Linked DNA regions of Neodiprion lecontei. The protein of the gene in region 1 purifies or fractionates together with the protein of each later gene. This does not show direct contact. Links are inferred from orthologs where the notes say so. Each region holds a gene or a part of one and is shown on either strand. Other genes may lie near its edges.

Region 1 (9,817 bases):
CGGTATGAATTACAAATTGTTATTTACTGATGAAATTAACGTGTGTTTATAACCTAATCTAACGTACGGTAACCGTGAGATATTCCTGTACAATTTGTTACTCTACGAAACGTTGAGCAACTTTAGATGTTCCTTTCTCTCTTTCCTTATAATTCGCAATATTTTGTGTAATTTTTTTTGTAAACTGTCGTATCCACTAGTACATGGAGTCAAATTTTCTAATACGTGTATGGAACGCCCTTCAAAAATATCTCCTTTTATGGCAGGACTATCAACAATGCTAAGCGTCTTCACAACTGTAGCAAATCTTACATGCAAAGGCCTTTTCTTTGGCAGTCAACCACTAGATTCAACGAATTGCATAAACGCAATATGTTTATACAAACTCAAGACACGCCAAATCCCAATAGTTTGAAGTTTCTACCTGGAGTTGCCGTCCTCGAACCAGGACAAACAATGGATTTTCCTACAGGATCAGATGCATATTGTTCGCCATTGGCAAAGATGCTTTTCAGAATTGAAGGAGTGAAGTCGATATTTTTTGGGTCTGATTTCATCACTGTAACTAAAGTTGACGAAGACGTCGATTGGAAGCTCATAAAGCCAGAAGTATTTGCTACTATAATGGATTTTTTTGCTAGCGGATTGCCTGTTCTTACTGAAGCACAGCCATCGCTAGATACAAGTAAATGAATTGGACAATTTCATGTGATCTTTTATAACAATTACTCTCAATTGTTTTCTATTCCTAATTGTAATTCATTGACGTTTCTGAATTAGAGATTCAGGATGATGACGATGAAACTGTTCAAATGATAAAAGAACTTCTTGACACAAGAATCAGGCCCACAGTCCAAGAAGATGGAGGAGACATTGTGTACATGGTACGTAAATCAAGTATTGGATATAAAACATTTCTTTCTACTTCAACCATCAACTGTTTTCAATTTGAAGTTACAAAATACTTTTTATTGCCACAGGGTTTCGTAGATGGGATAGTAAAGCTAAAAATGCAAGGTTCTTGTACCAGCTGCCCCAGTTCCGTAGTGACATTGAAAAACGGTGTGCAAAATATGATGCAATTTTATATTCCTGAAGTTCAGGGTGTCGAACAAGTCGAAGATGAATCAGATCGAGCAGCGAAGGAAGAATTTGAGAAATTAGAGACAAAGATTCAGACAAGCAAGACCAGTAACGAACACTAGAGCAAAAGATCTTGAAATTACTTCTATTGATTTTTAGAATGAATAGCATCTTGTAATATACTTAATACTGATATTCATATCTAAATGTAACAGCTATTTGTAAATAGAACAGTTTTTATTCGTTGAAATATGTTGTGATAATGGGGAAGTTTCGTTAAATGTTTTTATTTCATATTTCAGTAGTTGAGGGAAAAATAATGCTGGTATATTTTTTTGTTCTTCATTTAAAACAAAGTTTAAGCAGATACAACAGGTTGAAGGAGTTACTGTGTGATGTTATCAATGCTAAAGTATATTTGTAATTTAATATTAGCAATTATCATTTTTATGGAAATCAGGGAATATCACCAGATTACGTTTAAATACCTTACTTCATGCAAGCAGGAAACTTTTTCATAAAACCTCTACTTACTCGCATAAAAAACTGTAGTGACCAGTTCAATTGTTGTTTTATTTCTTCAATGCTCTGTAAACAGCAGACAATAGTAGATTAGACCGAGGTATGAATTTATGTAGTTTAATATTTGTTGAAATTCATTAAAAGACTGAAACGAGTTATTTCGTTTAATTTATCTCTATGCCTGACGATATTTGTCTTATCTAATCTTAACACATAAAAATCTGGTAAATACTTGCCAAACTATCGGAGTGTTTTGTCCTGACTAAAGATGACACAGGACGACAAATTTTTAGGAAATAAATTGAATGAAAAAATTTCAGTCAAAATTTCACAAGTCTTAAATCGTCCAGCTTATTACCTCTACATTTTGTTCAAATTCAATTCGAATTGAAAAAAAAATTTCTTACCTTCAAGTAAAGACAAGGAGGAGGGTTATAATGATAGTTCAGTTAGAAGTATAAACGCAATGATATCGATGAAAACGACAATGTATAGGACCACTAACTACCATAATATAAAACAGATCAGTTTGAACCAACTTTTTCTTTACGAAAGAAGTAAATTTGTCACTTCACAAAATCATTTCTAATTCAAATTTAAGAATATTAATATTTTCAAACTTTTTAATTAGGGAAATAAAATTTCACTGGCAATTCCAGGTTTTCCAAGTGTGTGGCCATCCTGTAATGGGCATTGGCGACTAGGCTTGGAATTAATCAAATAAATAAAATTTGATAAAATTTCTCAGCTCCTTTATTCAGTATAGTATAGTACAAAGCATTTATCGACTGGACACAGACACCTGCCAAACGCGAATGGTGTTGTCCGAGTAACCGGCAAACAGCGTTTGTCCGTCCGTGGACCAAGCCAAAGAAAGACACTGAGCGGGCTCAGCCTTGCTGGTGGCAGACACAACTTCGGGTTTCAGTTCCTCGACCATTTCCTTGCTTTCAAGATCCCAGATCTTGATCGATGGCCCGAATGCGGCACAGAGCCAATAACGGTTCGGGCTGAAGCATAAGGCGGTGATGATGTCGTTGTGATCCAGCGTATGCAAGTGCTTTCCATCATTCAAATCCCACAGCATTGCTTTGCAATCCTATGAGAAAGGTAAGCAAATAAGAGTATTAGTGATAATCCCGGAAATAGTGAAAGTCAGTAAGAGATTGGTTTATATTTAGTCAGTCCCATATCCGTAAACACTCATGGATATCATGAATTAGTTGTTTGCATCATATTTTATTGGTAAAAATGGATTAAAAAAGAAAAGATGTAGTGTAGAATGAATAACCAAATATAAGTAAATATTATAAATTTTTACCTTGCCACCGGAAGCACAGAGGGAACCGTCTGGAGAGACAGTTACTGTGTTAAGGTACCCAGTGTGCCCATTATGGTTGATCTTTAAACGACAGTTCGTCAAGTTCCAGACCTGTGTATGATAACAAGGGAAATATTGTAAGGGAAAATTGCATAAAAATTTGAAATGTTTTACTTTGGAACAATTAATCAGTCCCATATCCGCTAACACTCACAGAGTTCATGTTTTCCAAAGATTTACATCATTTAGAATATCTTAAATTTTCAATAATTTGTAAGTACAAGATAAAAATGCTTTGACCAAAATATTATCAAACTTTTCCAACAATGAAAATCACTAAAAATTGTTCAAATTATTTGCAAACCATGTCTATGAATTTTTAAAAAAATGCCTCATTATCGTCAATAATTTTACATTACTCTGATCAATATTTTGGTCTGTGGATGCATTGAAAAGTCTCAATTACATGCAAAAATAATATACGACATAATGTACTTAAATTGCAAAGTTCACAAGACATGACTGGAAAGAAAATAATAGTTAGAGCCTTTGCTGTACTTTGAATGAAGCAATTGAATTTCATATTATCAAATTAAAAATTGCAAACAGAAAAGTCGTAGTTGGAATTCATAGTTACCTTAACAACGCGATCCCATCCAGCAGAAACAATGATGGGATTGGAGTGGTTAGGAGAGAATCGAACGCAGCTGACCCAATCACTGTGACCATCATCTTGAATGGTGTATTTACATTCGGCAAGTGTGTTCCACAACTTGATAGTCTTGTCTCGAGATCCAGAAACAATTTGCCGATTGTCTACAGAGAATGCGACGCTGAGGACATCCTGTTGAATGAAGTAAGATTCCAATATTTAGTTCCAAATGAAATATGACAGAACCAATTGAAAATTTCGTTTAGAATCAATATACATACAGTTTGCAGTACACAAAATTCTACATAATAGATGTGATGGAAAATAATAAAGAAAAAAAAAAAAAAACCTTTCTAAAATCCGCTTTTTTCCAAGTCGCATCAGAATCGACAATTTCAAAATTACAACTAGTACTCACAGCGCAGAGATATAGCTACATCATCCCACCTCTTCTAAATACCAAAGAATGAAAAAAAATATATACAAAAAAGCTTCAGTATATTCCTGTTTCTCGAAGATTCTTCGGCCATAGCATAAGAAATAAAAAAAAAATATGAAAAAAAAAGCTTCAGTGGTTTGTACATTTTTCACAATATTTGTTCCCCTCTCGAGATGGATTTGGGTTTAGTCACACCTTGGTATGGTCTTCAAACCTCCTGGTTGTGCGACCCGCAGCCAAATCCCAAAGACGCAGAGTCTTGTCCCATGATCCAGACAAAGCGTAGTTACCATCAGATGAAAGCACGACATCACTGATAAAATGCGAGTGACCATAAAGACGCTTTTGTGGTATACCATAATTGGCATCATCACGTGTTAACTTCCATACGATCAAAGTTTTGTCTGTGAAATTAATGTCATACAATTTTATTTGAAATATACTTCCACTGGACCTATGTTAAAGTGGCAAACTTTCTAAGGACAAGTTATATTTGGATGTCCACACATGATAATCATCTAGACATACACCAGGCATGAAAAGTAGCAATTTAATCATACAAATACGGACTGAACAACATCAAAAGGTGGAACTCCAACAAATAAAGACATACGAAGACACTTTTCAGAAGCCAATAATCTTAAGTAGCAGGTATTTATTTGTGTTGCATTAAATAAACTGCAAAATTAATTTGTAAGCAAAGATAATAATAGAAGAGAGGTGGGAATGTCGCAGGATTAACACGTTGTTTTTGCAGCGTGACGATCTCAGATGTTAGAATATTGTCGGCATTATACAGTATGGCAGTCAAGACTTACCGCGTGAAGACGACAGAATCATATCAGGATATTTCGGGTTGGTTGCGATTTGGGTAACCCATCCATTGTGGCCTCGAAGGGTCCCTCTGAGTTGTAAAGTTTCCGACATTTTACCGTACTTTCAACGTTCCTTGATGAACGGATCACTTGGATTCGATATCACTGACCGCCTCCAACGCGGCGTTGAACAGAAAAGGCAAACAGGATATACGAGCAGCAAAGCCACGCGGCATCCACAAGTTAGCGGGAAGGGAGTCTGTGGAGGGGGAAATTAAGCCGCCCTTTCACGAAACTCATTGTCTAGCTATTACGTGTTTCCATTGTCTAGCTATATTTACATACAAGATGATCAAATATCTCAACTCTTTCTGTACCAAAATAAAATTAGTTTATTCACGAGTTTACACTGAAATCTTCCACATGGGATGTCAATTTTTATGTTCCCCCGTGTTGCGGTAATCAATATATCTACAGCCGAAAATTCTTGAAAATATTCACTACTGCATGATGAGATTTACAACTTGGTCGTTCGAATAACAGTTCTATGGTTATTTATCGAATAGGTATTTACAGCCTCTGTAAACTGGTTGATATACCCACGTATTGCTTCTATAATACCTGGCGGACATGATATTTGTGGTTTTCAGAATTTTTTACGATATCTGTAACTAATCGCCTTGCCACTAATTCGAAATAATTACTGCAGAAAAAAGAAAACCACCTAGCACACGAGAAAACAATAAAACGTACAGGTTCGTTTTGACGTTAACCAATCAGAATTTTACAAGAAAACCGATTACTATTATTTTGAAAATTCATCAATCAATTTGGTTTCTTGCCATTTCTTTCAGATTGGATTGTAACGGAATTTTAATTTTACTCGTCATGTGATATACAAATTCGGTAGGCCAATCCATTTCTATTCCATTTTACATGCAAATTGAAATTTACCTCAAATGAAGATGATTACGAAGATTAGTGCTTTTATAATTTTCTATTGGTTGCTTTCTTTTTTCAAACCTCGTCAATCCATGAAGAAAGATTCCAAACATTTGCACAGGTCGATTCAGATTGATTTCCTCATTACGCAATACGTTTTTTTTTAAATTTCAAATTGGCAGACATCAATATGAATCTGTTTTAATACGTTTCAATATTTTTTAATTTATTGGATAATCGCTTGTAGAAACTTCGGAACTGATATTTTTATTCTCTATAATAACGTATGTTATGTTGAACTATCTATCCAACTTTGATTACAACCGCCATCAATTCGGATTTTTTTTAACTGCTCGTGAAGTAGTCAAAGATTGCCAATGATTTCTGAATGAACGGAATCAACTGATGAAGAGTTATAAGAAAAAATAATGAAAAAAATAAACCGCAATGTAGGCATTCCATAGATCCTCGATCCTACATATCCAATTCTGCAATTGAATATGACTGTATAATTTTTAATTCTTAGAGTTGTTCATGTTAAATAAATGAGACATTACATTTATATGGTCAAAACATTTATATAGCCGTTTTATACATATGTAAAAATAATGCAAATTTCTGAATCTTTTAGCTGTAAGTATGATCAAACTTTTTTAAATTTTCTACTGCGCTACCCAGGCAAGATCAAGCGTAGCATTATTTGAAACTTGTACAGTTCATCGTAACATCAAGTAACCATATTATGACTACGGGCAAGCAATTGTGACGATGGCGTTTTATCGAACATAATTGTCTTAAAATTTAAATTCAATTACGAAAAACGTAAAAATACCAATTGAGGCAGCACCAACTGCGATCAGCATATGCAGACGCGAGCCGGCATCACATGTTTACAGGTAAGTGTATAACCAGATAAATAATGTTCTAGGAAATGATATACAATCATATACACAGGTTACCAGATGGAAATTCAGTTGTAATTCATTACAGAACGTGTTAAATATTTTCGCGGAAGCAGTTTCGTAGTCCAATTCCATATCGTGTCAAAATTGATTTCAAATTCTCCCGCGACAGGTAGTCATAATAGTATCTAAACGACACACCCCATCGAACCGTTGCAGAGTTGAAGCTCCGCCAATAGCTGACAGACCAAAATGAAAAGTAGTTTCATTAATTTTCATAGACTCTGATCATAAGTTGACGGATATCGGTACTTCCCTCGATTTAATTACAATAATTAAGGGCAAAAGAAATGATCGTGACACTTACTGCAAAGTTTCGCCACAAGAGTATACTTTGAATCCGATTGGCGGGCCGAAATAAAAATGCTTTACGATTGGCCAGAGCGAGACAGCCTAGTCGATCCAAACCGAATCTCGGCGAGCGATGCCGAGCGGAAGAATTTAAACGTGACGTCACCCGATCATCACTATTTGTCGGCCATTTTGTGAGTGTGTGGTTGATTGAGATATTTGTGTTGAAATAATACCGGAGCGAAATCGAATGGATTTAGTTTATTGATAAGATAGTTTCCCGTTGCGTTACATGTGCTAAGTGTCAACCGGGTATTGAACATTGCTTAGATCCAAACGATGGAGGAGAAGGCAGTGACGTCTCTGAAAGAGCTTGACCAATGGATCGAACAGTTGAACGAGTGCAAACAACTGACAGAAAGTCAAGTTAAAACTTTGTGCGAAAAGGTGAGCTGGCCGGAGATTTTTCACCCCAAGTTCCTTCATTTCCCCGTTGACTTTCCTAACTTCTTTCCTCCCTGCCGACAATCTGCATCTCTATCCACGCCTATCGCGCCTCGACATCGCCTCCCGGCTAAAAAACCTTATCCAGCATTTTATTCGGTACACAACCCTCGCTTCTCCAAACATTTCACACCAAATCCTTTCTATCACCGATCGTCCCACGTCTTCTTAGGCGTATACGATTGGCCGATATGTCATCGAAAATTGATAGTCACTCACCTTGAATTACGGCTAACGACCAACGTCCCCCGTTCGCCGAGCTCGAATACACGGCGGATAAAATTATCCAACGATTAACCACGCCGCCGTTTGTTTTACACGGAATCGGATTAACTTCCACACCGCGAATTTTTTCCTCTTACTCGCTGCTCATTTTCCCTGTAAACCACATGTTATATTCCGCACACTGTAATAACGAGTAATTTTGTTTTAAACGATTTTATTATTTCTCTATGTATATTTTATGTACTGACGATTTTTTATTACACTTTTTATCATTTGTTTGTCGAATAACACATCGAACTACGTCATTCTGCGATGTCGCGATAAATTTTAAACAAATAGTAATGAATTCAACTTCGTTTCACGCTTCCAATAGTTTAACTTATTTTTAGCATTAGTAGATTAGCAGTAGAGGATTACATATTCGGTATTTCGTACGTCGGGCAATATTTTCTCTGGAATAGCAGATCTACGAAGAACATTCCTGCAATACAATTTCATCAACGCCTGTTACTAATATTTTATTCTACACAATCTTTCAAAGGTCGGTATCTGTGAAACCCTTCTGCTCACAGCTGACAACAGTCAAAATAAATGCGAATACTTTGACGTTTTAATACCCACGCTGTGCTCAGAAGATATTTGATACCTTGGATACGATTATTTTAGGTCAAATCCATAGTACGCTCCACTGTGATCATTTAAATACCGATTGGGCCGTTTTGAATAATATTATTACGTACTTGAGGACGAAAGACTTTATAGCAAATAAAATAAGAATTATTTGTATTATTCCTTTTCCAAATTCATGGGATACTTACTGTGTTACAACATTCAGATATTCCACTGTTTCTTATTGTCTAACTGCGGAAAAATTCCGATATTTTTCAACCCTAATAGTCATTAGTTAATTTTGTACTCGTAAACACTCAGGGACAGTAGATTATTAGTTCGAAAGTCTAAATAATCAAAGAATTCTTATTAGACAAGAATGATAGAAATCATTTGTAATCGTTACCTGTTGAAAATGGTCTTATGTAATTAATAATCCTCATTCTAGAGTCCTTATAAATTTCAGGAAAATCTTTGAACTTTCAGAAACAAATCTTATTGAATACCTTGTTTCATAATTAAGTAACATGTTTTTCGAATCAAGTTCAAGGTTTATTAGAACTATTTTATAGTATTAAGGTTCGTAGAACAAACAGCATTCAACAGAGTTAATGCTGAAAAATATTACATCATGACCCTAAAATTTAAAAAGAATTTAATGCCAATGAAGGTCAATTCAGATTTGTTCACATTTTTTTATCATGCCAGCGAACTTTTCAGCTAGCTCCGACAAGTTTTATAAAATTTCAATGTTCTTGCTAGAAGTTTCAAAAATATCTCTACTTTTTTTATTAAAAATATTTATTTAATTCACTATATTTCAGACAAATCTAAAGCTGTGACATGATGATTTTTCCAGGAAAATGGATCATGACCTGAACGTTACAAACTTTCACCTTATCATTCTTTGTACATTAAAAATTGATCTTGTGAAATGAAGAATCTTTTCCTGCAAACACGAAATAAGTAAACAAGTTGTATGGCCTTGCTGAACCACTTTGATAACTTCGAATTCTGTAGTGATAGGTATTTAACAGATTATCAAATGTCCAGAATGCAGTGTTGAGATAATTTGAAGAAGTGACTCAACTATTATGACAGAAAGAAATTTTTCTCATCGCTCAACTCTTTAGTTATAACTCGGTTCAATTCCAGAACCGGATTTAACGTATGTTTTACGATCATCCAAAACAAGTTTTACTTGGAATTCAGTGGACTGGTATATAATATGTCATAAACTTTGAGAATTAGAGAAAATATCCAGATCTAATCATGTTGATATTAGTTTCTAAAGATATTACATTTTCGTGACGATGATTGTTGTATAAACATAACCAAACAACAGTTCGTTAAAACAGTAAAATGATAAGTTCCTGAGCTTTGGTTGGTCATAAAAACGCCTCTCTTTGTTAGATAAAATTTGAATTTTTCATTAAAAGAAAACTACGACAT
Region 2 (9,583 bases), on another chromosome or scaffold:
CCTTGTCTGGTTGCCCAGTGATTCGGATTATATCGCAAGCTGGAACGGTTTCTACTGCCTCTGTCTCCTCGCCATTGACTTGTTCATCAGGACGTTGTTCCTCTGAAAGTTGTGTGGAAATTTGAAAATTAGATTTTACCTGAGTGATAATGGTAGAATGGTGTGAAATCGTACTGATATTTTTTGATTTTAGACTAGACCCAATGTGTAGTATGAGAAAAAGGTAAACATTAATATAATTACCATGCACAACACGATCTGGAAATTTGATTTGTACATCAAACTCTGCAGTGATACCTTGAACCTTGCAGCCCCTAGCACCCATAACTGTGCGGTGATGTCGTTGTGGAATTATGCATTCGATCGTTACCATAGATTCCTGTGAAGTAAAAAAATAATAAGGGTGGAAGAAATTGTCAGATTTATTCAAAGATTTTTGTAATGCAAATATAATTTTTCCAAAGATAGGAAATGTGAGTATTGCATTAAATATATATTGCAAAATACAGCTTCAGGTTTAAATTGATTAGAAGGTTAGAAGGATTGGTTACAGTTAGAAATTAAGTTCTTACCAACTCTTGGACAATTTCTAGCATACGCTGCTTCGCAGCTTTGATACATTCAAGCGCTCCCTTGATGACAACTCTGTCGCTGTCGACACCAGCGCGTGGGAAAGAGATCTGAACTCCACCACATTCTTCTGCGATTCGGTGAAGTACTTCTCCCCTACGAGCCACGAAGTGTCTGTGATGCTTGGACTCAATGCTGATTTCACTTTCTGTGATATTATCCTAAGAGAATAATTTCGATTAATTATATTATTCACTTTTGTTTTGTGTTTTGAATTGAATTCAAGCCACGGAAGCTTACTATTTCTTTAATAGTAGATTCAAGCTCAGCTTTGGCCTTGTCGACCGCATCTTGCTTGCCAATGATCATGATGACCTCTTTGTCCTCGTCTTTGTCCGTTGGGAAAATAATTCGTGCTCCCGTAGATTCTCGGATCTGTGGGGCGGGGGGGGGATATATCGTTATTATAAAATTGCTCACGTCAAATCACGAGTAACACTCGACCGGACATGAGATTACCAAATCGTTTATTACCTTTTTAATATTCGCACCACTTTTTCCGATAAGGAATTTGTGATGTTGGGCCTTTGCTCGAACTTCAGCAGTGAAGCTAGATAAAAGTTTCTCATTGGATAATTCTAAAAGCTGTTGTTTTGCCTTTTCAACATCATCTTTTGGCCCCCTGATGCTGACCTATTGAATAGTAGCAATATTTTACTTCTATTCTAATTACCAATGCATTTTGCGAAGCGAAATATCATTCCCAGGTGTACAATTACCTTATCGCTTTGACTCTCAGCGGTTGGAAACTTGATAGCAACTCCTCCGCAGTCTTCCATAATGGAATGAATTAATTTTCCTCCAGTTCCAATTAGTGAATTGTAAAACTTTGGAGGTATTACAATCTCGTCAGTGACTATGTTTGCCTGGAATTAATAAGTAATAAGGTGAAAAGTAGTGAATAGAATATTCAATTAGAAATTCTGGAAAAAATAAACCTTACCAATTCATTTTGGATCTTCTGAATTTTTTCTTTAGCCTCTTCAACATTTTCTTTCTTTCCCGTTATAGTGATAACATCGCTTTTCTCACCCTCAGCTGGCAAGTCAATCTTCGTTTGAGTTTCTTCCCGAATCTAATTGGAAAATACATACATGTACAATTTATGTAATAAGTATATAGGTATATATTTTTTCCAAGTTCGCCTGATTATATCAGATGGTAATAATTATCAAGAACATGATAGTTCCAAACCAACCTTGCGAATATTGGCGCCCCCTTTACCTATAACAAACTTGTGAAATTGTTTAAAAATAGGAACCTCCATGACAAAGCTATTCTCGTTAAGCTCTTTGACCAACTTCATCAAATGTTTGTGGCACTTATCCACGTCCTCTTTGGGGCCTCGAATTTTTACCACATCACGTTTTTCGCCTATAAGAATGAAAAAAGTGTACATAAGGCAAAGGATACTTTCGATTACAAATTTTTCTACGTGATATTGAACGATATTTTACCTGGTCCAGGGATAGTTATTTGCACTTGATTGAACTTGTCTCTAATTTCTTTGATGTTATCCCCCTTGCTTCCAATAATGCTGCGGTAATAACGATGGTCAATTATAACGTCTTTTTCCTTTTCATTTTCCAATTTCTCAACCATCTCCATGAGTTCCTGATAATCAACATTTCGTATTGGTACATATATTTCACACATCGCAAAATGATCTTACCTTCTTAGCTTTTTCTACACCAGCATAATTTCCCTCAATGCGAATAAGATTTTTCCCGTCGTTCTCAGATATATTGATCACGACTCCAGTCTCCTCATTCAAACGATTAACTAGAAAACGTTTAGAAAATATTTTAAACATGCGAAAACTGACGAAGATTGTTTAGTAAAAAATAACGACTGCTTGCTTACCGTTCGTTCCATTCTTTCCGATAATATGCTTGTAGAATTTGGGATCAACGTTAAGTTCGGTGAATGTCAGCTTGTCGATGAGATCAGTGACCATGTTTTGCAGTTCAGTTTGAACTTTTTCTACATCTTCAGGGGGTCCTTCAATCTTGATCTTATCTTCTGTGTTGGTAAATTCAACATGAACGTTGCTCAAGTCTTGGGTTATTTTTTTGATGTTTGCTCCTTTGCGGCCGATAATGTATTTATGGATCCAAGCAGGAGCCTCGACCGTTGTGCTACGGACACTGTTTGCCTTCTCATAAACTTTGCCCAATGCTGAGAAAAAAAAAAAAATAGGATAAGATAAGGCTCATTTGTAAGTTACAACAAAGGGTGAATCAATAGATTCTCAGAAATGAATTATTTGCATCGATTCTCACCAAGACCAAGCTTCTCCTGTGGTCCACGAAGGGTTATAGTTCCTGTTGCTGAATCTGCAGCAGGCATTTCTACACTTACGCCAGTAAGCTGCAGTATTTCGGCAATGGTACTACCACGGGGTCCGATGACGTGCTTGTGTTGAGATTTTGGCACTTCAACGGACACCGTTGTGCATCTTTGCGCCTAAAAATTCAATCAGGGATACATTTCAAGGACCGGAATATTATTTCACATGTAAACATTAAACTTTATGTAACACCAAAAATCGTACCATGTCTCTGTGGATAGCTTCGATCTTTTCTTTAGCTGCTAGAACGCCTTCCTTTTCACCTGCTATTGTTATTTCATCTTTTTGTACCGACGGCGGAGGAATGTTTATACGCGCTCCGGTTTCGGCGATCATTGCATTTAGAGTTTCGTTACGGGGACCATGTATAAAAGGATGGTAAATTGTTGGCACACTAACAATTTCAAATGCTTTTTTTGACTGAAATTTCAAGAGTGAAAAAATATTGTTATCAAATATCCGCGAGCAAAACTGGTGGGCTACGTTCTTTTTTTGATATGCAAACAAATTTGTACCTGCTCGTCGGAAATCACTTTGATTTCATGCTCAGCCTTTTCAATACCTTCCTTAGTGCCAGTGATTGTTATCGTATCGGATTGATCCTGCACCGAAGGTATTTGAATCTTTGTAGCTGTTGTCTTCTCCAAATCCTTCAATCTCTGTCCTTGCTTTCCTAGGATCCAGCGATGATGTTCTTTGGGAATGTTGAGTTGTTTGTTCGCCTGAAATTACATAGTAAGTTAATAATAGGCCCGATTGAACTTGAGCGATAATGTCAAATACATCCATGTTCAAAGCATACAGTTGTGAGAAATAACAAAGTGACAGCTTTGAAAACTTGAATAAATATCCATACAGCATGATGGTACTTTAAAAATATATAAAATAAACATTATTAAGCATCAACGTTTTTGTTAAAAATAGAGCAAACAAATGACTGACATGAACATTTTCATGGCAGGTGGGAAGAAAATGGCTACATCGAATTTCAAGTATTGTATTTTCCAGGTGTTACAGTCAGGCAATTTTTGTATACCTGGGTTTGGAACGTTGTCAGAATACGACGTCGAGCTTCCAAGACTTCGTTTTGTTTGCCAGTGACTAAAAATGTCAATGACTGATCTTTGGAGGAAGATATCTCAATGTGAGCACCACTTTCCTTCATTATTGCAAGGCAGGTTCTCACAGATTCACCTTCACCAAATTTGTCACTGTGGTCAAACTTACGCTCTTCAACAGGAACATGAAAAACCTGAAAATTAATGTTCATAAAAAAAAAATTCACTGATAACTAATAAACTTCGCAAGATGGCAAATTAACAATCTGAGACTAAGATTTAAGAAGTAGCAACAATAATGATCAGTACCTGTGTAACGACCGAACAACCAACACGCATACTGTTGTTTTTCGTTGAAAGAGGATTGGGGCTGCTGGATATCGGGCTGGCTGATCCGGGGAGAACCGGGAAGGTCTCATCGTAGCTGTATGTGGGTGGCTCAAAGGCCGTACCCTCTTCCATTACTGATTGCTGCTGCATTTTTGGGATGTCCTAATTCGTGCCAAGTCCTTACAGTAGCACTGTGCCGACAAAACAAGAGGAATTAAAAATATTTCATGTAAATATTTAGCGATGTAGGAAACAGTAGACTGAATCTTGGCTGCATGTCGTACAATTTTTTTTACCTCATCAGAGGTGGAAAAACGTAAAACCTATAATCCTAAGATGACATTTTCTTTGATAATTAGTTGGCACGTTAGATAAAGTGGTAGATTTGAGACGGATGCCAAACATTTGCGCAATAGGTAGGTTACTCTTCGGAATAAAGGTTTTAGATTCTCATTAAACCAACTTTTCTATCCTCGCTCCTCCGGGAGTCTAGAAGAACTCTCATTTGTATGGGAGGCGATAAGAATCTTGCTAACAGAGAGGAAATACTGAAATATTGTGATAAGCTAGCACAAATATTCACGCATACATTCATAAGCATATAGAAGTCGCGTTGGATTACTCTCTCGTATTCTCTTTTTTACTTTTTTTTAGGTTAACCCGTTATCTACAATTCAGAACGTGATAAGGTTGTAGCTGAGAAAAAAAAAAGATTCAGGAAGTCTCGAAAAGATTAGATTTTGGAAAATAACGTGACAAGTTTGAGGAAAAAATCTTTCAACTTCGCGAAATATTTCGCTGGTAAATAAATAAGTGGTAAGGATATTAAGGATGTAAAATAAAAATCATCTTGTGACACACCCCACCGTAAATTATCGTGAAAAAGTTTTTTTTTCACTTCGAAAAATCTTCAACCGGAAGGAGAAATTGGATCGCCGATAATTAATTAAGTCATTGTAACATTATCCGTGCTGGTGAGTAACCTCTGTCGTACAATATGTCGCGGTAGAGGTTGATTGAATACCGTATTTTGAAGTGATTTAAATGTGAAATTCCATTGAATGCCAGCATGTCAATGACCAGTAGTGGAGCCAGTGACCACCATATGGAATGGAGTGCCTGCTTGACACGTCACGAGATTGCTAACCTCTTCGAAAATTTATCTCAATCATATCGAGAATATGGGAGAGAGTGAGAAACGAGAGAGGAAAGGAGGGGGAGTGTGAAAAAAAGGTTTTACATTGAATTCAGTATCAATTTTAATGCCGAATTATCTTTCAGCCACGACCAAGTACGAACGAGTTACACATTATTATTCCGCGAACCTGTTAACACCCGAGACGTGGTTAAGATTTGAAAAATGATTATCGAAAAATTAATAGGGTTTTCAACAGTGCTCAAAAATTATGATAATCACTTGCGCGAATGGTGTGAGAGTGAAATAGAGAGAGAGAGAGAGAGACAGAGAGAGGGAGAAAAAAAATGAATATAGGTAGAAAGAAGATACTTACTCTACCGTAATAAAGTTATCCCACCAGGTAATAAATCTTTATTACGCCGCCAGTTTACTATCAATCCTCCTGTAACGTTTGAAAAACAAGAATATATATAAATCACTGTGCGATGTTGGTTGTAACGTTATTATTGTGATATTCTAATACGGCCTAAGATCGGTATAAGAGATGATTTTGCGAAGATGAAGTAATGAGCAACACTCCTTACCGGTAACGCAAAGTGAAATGAGACGGGTGCTCGCGGTGCTCGCTCGCCCCCCTGATCGAAGATGTTACCACTCTTCAGCTCTCCGGAAAATTTTCTAAACGTTGGCAACGCGGGCTCGTTTAGGAAATTTGTGGTTTTTGCGGTATTTCAAATCCGGTCACAAATTCATCGAGATTATGGTAAAATTAACGATGCACTGACTGTCTGGTGGATCTGGCCGATCTGAGTATCGATCAGACGATAAGAAATCAATCTTGATTACTCATTCGCTTTGAAAATTCGGTTTTTTTCCTGCATCGATGAGCACCGATTCAAAATTGGCGCGCTTCAAACGTGCGACGTGACTCGAATCTCGTAGTTTGTTGACAAACTCGTGTTTCCTGTTACGATTGCATACGTGACATAAATATATGACATAAACGCCTATTGAGAAAATAAATACAGAAAATAATCAACCTTCTGGATTGGTGTTATTTTTTTACGCCCTTGATCGAACACCCTGATTAAACAAATGACGCCTCATGGTGTTCCGAAAGATGATTAATACCGTCAAAAATCGTGGCCGACAACTGCCACGTGTTTTTGACTTTTATCAACGTGTGCAGCTCATCAAGGTCTCCGTCATGTTTGAAAGCGCATCGTTCATTTCATTAGCAACTACCGCAACTACGCACACATCCACATATCCTGCGTATCATCTCGTGAATGCGTAGCTTCGTATTATGATCCACAAACCATAGAGCCACAGATAATGCGGGGAAACCGTTGAACCCCAATCGATCTTAGATATTTGTTTATCGCCCACGAAACATATTTGTGGGTTATGAAATCACTCATCTCGTAGCCTCCGTTTTATTATCCTAATTACATAACTGCTACTATAGAACGAAGGGCGATCGTAGGACGATTGGCACTCACTGATGCGCACATTATAATTTATGTAAACATGCCAGAGAGCACTGGACGATTTGGTCCTCTTGTTGGGGCGATTGATGAAGGAACGAGCAGTGCCAGGTTTTTAGTAAGTAAATTAGTATGTTTTGACACAAAGAACTGAAGGTTTAAAAGGGTATTGATGAGTAGATAAAGCAAGCCATGTTTCAATGTACATCCGGTGTTGCGTCAAACCTTTGAACTGGATCAATTGCCACACCCGGTTTATCGAGGCATGAATCAATTTGAGAAAGTGATTATATTTACAGGTGTTCAGTGTTCGGCGGAGAGAAGTTGTCGCCTCACATCAGATCGAGATAAAGAATATATACCCACAAGAAGGATGGGTCGAACAGGATGCCAAGGAGATACTTAAAGCGGTGCATGAGTGCATCATTAAGACAATAGAGAAGTTGAAAGCGATCGACATAGACAAGGCGGATATCAAAGCTATCGGCATTACTAACCAGCGTGAAACCACTTTAGTATGGGACAAGGAAACCGGAGAGCCCTTGCACAATGCCATCGGTAGATAGAATCTCTCGCTCACACTTTTGAGTCTTTTTCCATTACCTTGGAGTGAGTAGAAATTTAAAATTTGGAAAAGCTTGTTAAATGCACGTTTTTTCGTTTCAGTTTGGCTGGACATGCGGACCACGACCACGATTGAGAATATCTTGGATAATGTGCCGAATAATACAAGGAACAAGAATTACCTCAAACCTCTTTGTGGGCTGCCCATATCTCCTTATTTCAGTGCTCTCAAAATCCGATGGCTTATTGACAATGTTCCAAGAGTTAAGCAAGCTGTTGAGGCAGGGAGATGTGCTTTCGGAACTGTCGACACTTGGCTGATTTGGGTTTGTTCAATAAATTTGTGAAAGAAGTAGACGAGAGGAGAAAATTCTCAGTCTACTCTTACATTGAATGTATCAGTAATACTTTGCCTTACTTAGAATTGCGATATATTTGCAGAACCTTACACAAGGAAAACTCCATATGACGGATGTTTCCAACGCATCTCGGACAATGTTGATGAACATTGAGACCCTGAAGTGGGATCCATTGCTCTGTCGCTTCTTTGGCATCCCGCTGGATATCCTTCCGGAAATTCGATCCTGCTCCGAAATATATGGGCATATCTCTTACCCAGAAGTCTTGAGCGGAATACCCATTTCAGGGGTGAGTTCAGCTATGAATGATTGCTTTTGTGTAGAAGTGAGTCATCCCAACAGTCTGTTCACTTTGATACTCAAACTGTTGTACAGTAGAACCTCGGTCATCCAAACACTCAATTATCCAAAAGCTGGCGCAAAAAATACATTTTTGGTACGAAATTTTAATTGTTGCTTGCTAAAAAAAGTGTAGGAGCTGTTCGTCAATTGACAATAGACGACTATGTAAAACCAAAGTAATAAAATAAGCATTCTGTATTTGAAAGATGTTTCATATGTATTTAGATGTTTTAAACGGACTGTTTATGGATTTAAAATTGTGTTGTATATATTATTATACCTTAACATAAAAATTGCATTTCGGTTATACGAACTAGGTTAGTTAATTCACGTAATCGAGGTTCTACTGTACTAAAACTTTAATCATGAGACGATACTTTGAACTGAGAAAACGTGAGAAAAACTGTCAACACTTCAATTTTTTGTATGTACTGCTGTTTGTAACGTTAATGCTGTTACACAGTGTGTAGGTGATCAGCAGGGAGCTCTGATAGGTCAGTTGTGTCTGAAACGAGGGCAGGCAAAAGCAACCTACGGCACAGGTTGTTTCTTACTCTATAATACCGGGAATGTGGTATGTATCCCAAGGAAATATGAAATCCAAATTCGTTCTAAAATGCAAAGATTTCTTCTAAAACTAAATCTGTGTAACATTTGACAACGCTTTCAGAAAGTTGACTCGAGTCAAGGTCTAATCACAACTGTTGCTTATAAATTGGGGCGCTCACCTGCCGTCTATGCCTTGGAAGGATCAGTCGCGGTAGCTGGTGCTGCACTCTCCTGGTTGCGAGATAACATACAGCTTATGGCCAACGTCACAGAGAGTCAGGATTTGGCGGAAAGAGTACGTTGCTCTGGTGACGTCTACTTTGTACCAGCTTTCTCCGGGTTATACGCACCTTATTGGCAGCAGGATGCCAGAGGGTAATTTAAGTGACATTACAATTTTTACCTCATAGAAGCAAATGTACAAGTTTTTTCATTCGCTATATCGTCTAGCTAAATTTCACAACAGATATAAAATTAGTTTGTGTTTCTTTGATCCGACTAAAAATTTTGACAATTTTCTGTGCACAGAGTTATATGTGGAATTACTGAAGATACTCAGCAGTATCACATAATCAGAGCTGCACTCGAAGCGGTGTGCTTTCAAACCAGAGATATATTGGAGGCAATGTTGGAAGACGCCGGGACCAGTTTGACTGAATTGCAAGTAGATGGTGGAATGACGGCTAATAATTTGCTAATGCAATTGCAAGCCGATTTGACCGGAGTTAGCGTGGGTCAGTTGTAGTCGGTTTCGAATTGCAAAGGAATTTTTTTTG

Evidence for each region.
Region 2: the proteins of guanine nucleotide-binding protein subunit beta-like protein (region 1) and vigilin purify together in Homo sapiens (affinity purification with mass spectrometry; 3 studies listed by BioGRID and IntAct, with this or other methods). This does not show direct contact. The link is inferred for Neodiprion lecontei from reciprocal best matches to the Homo sapiens genes RACK1 and HDLBP.

Annotation. Positions count from the first base shown.
Region 1 is NC_060262.1:7,954,571-7,964,387, forward strand, and holds guanine nucleotide-binding protein subunit beta-like protein, read right to left. Parts: upstream 5,042-9,817; 5' UTR 4,945-5,041; coding exon 4,836-4,944; intron 4,422-4,835; coding exon 4,213-4,421; intron 3,771-4,212; coding exon 3,564-3,770; intron 3,038-3,563; coding exon 2,927-3,037; intron 2,705-2,926; coding exon 2,387-2,704; 3' UTR 2,341-2,386; downstream 1-2,340. Other genes in the region: NFU1 iron-sulfur cluster scaffold homolog, mitochondrial, read left to right, coding at 1-2, 267-685, 781-884, 981-1,205; serine/threonine-protein phosphatase 2A catalytic subunit beta isoform, read left to right, coding at 7,367-7,474. UniProt on the Homo sapiens protein: Scaffolding protein involved in the recruitment, assembly and/or regulation of a variety of signaling molecules. Interacts with a wide variety of proteins and plays a role in many cellular processes.
Region 2 is NC_060261.1:2,442,420-2,452,002, reverse strand, and holds the start of vigilin, read right to left. Parts: upstream 6,128-9,583; 5' UTR 6,091-6,127; intron 5,949-6,090; 5' UTR 5,880-5,948; intron 4,560-5,879; 5' UTR 4,519-4,559; coding exon 4,348-4,518; intron 4,233-4,347; coding exon 4,017-4,232; intron 3,703-4,016; coding exon 3,496-3,702; intron 3,401-3,495; coding exon 3,185-3,400; intron 3,097-3,184; coding exon 2,913-3,096; intron 2,809-2,912; coding exon 2,494-2,808; intron 2,413-2,493; coding exon 2,303-2,412; intron 2,245-2,302; coding exon 2,088-2,244; intron 2,005-2,087; coding exon 1,829-2,004; intron 1,706-1,828; coding exon 1,574-1,705; intron 1,497-1,573; coding exon 1,350-1,496; intron 1,264-1,349; coding exon 1,105-1,263; intron 1,006-1,104; coding exon 871-1,005; intron 792-870; coding exon 573-791; intron 380-572; coding exon 244-379; intron 103-243; coding exon 1-102. Other genes in the region: glycerol kinase, read left to right, coding at 7,037-7,111, 7,293-7,551, 7,660-7,883, 7,999-8,205, 8,722-8,832, 8,929-9,182, 9,336-9,541. UniProt on the Homo sapiens protein: Appears to play a role in cell sterol metabolism. It may function to protect cells from over-accumulation of cholesterol.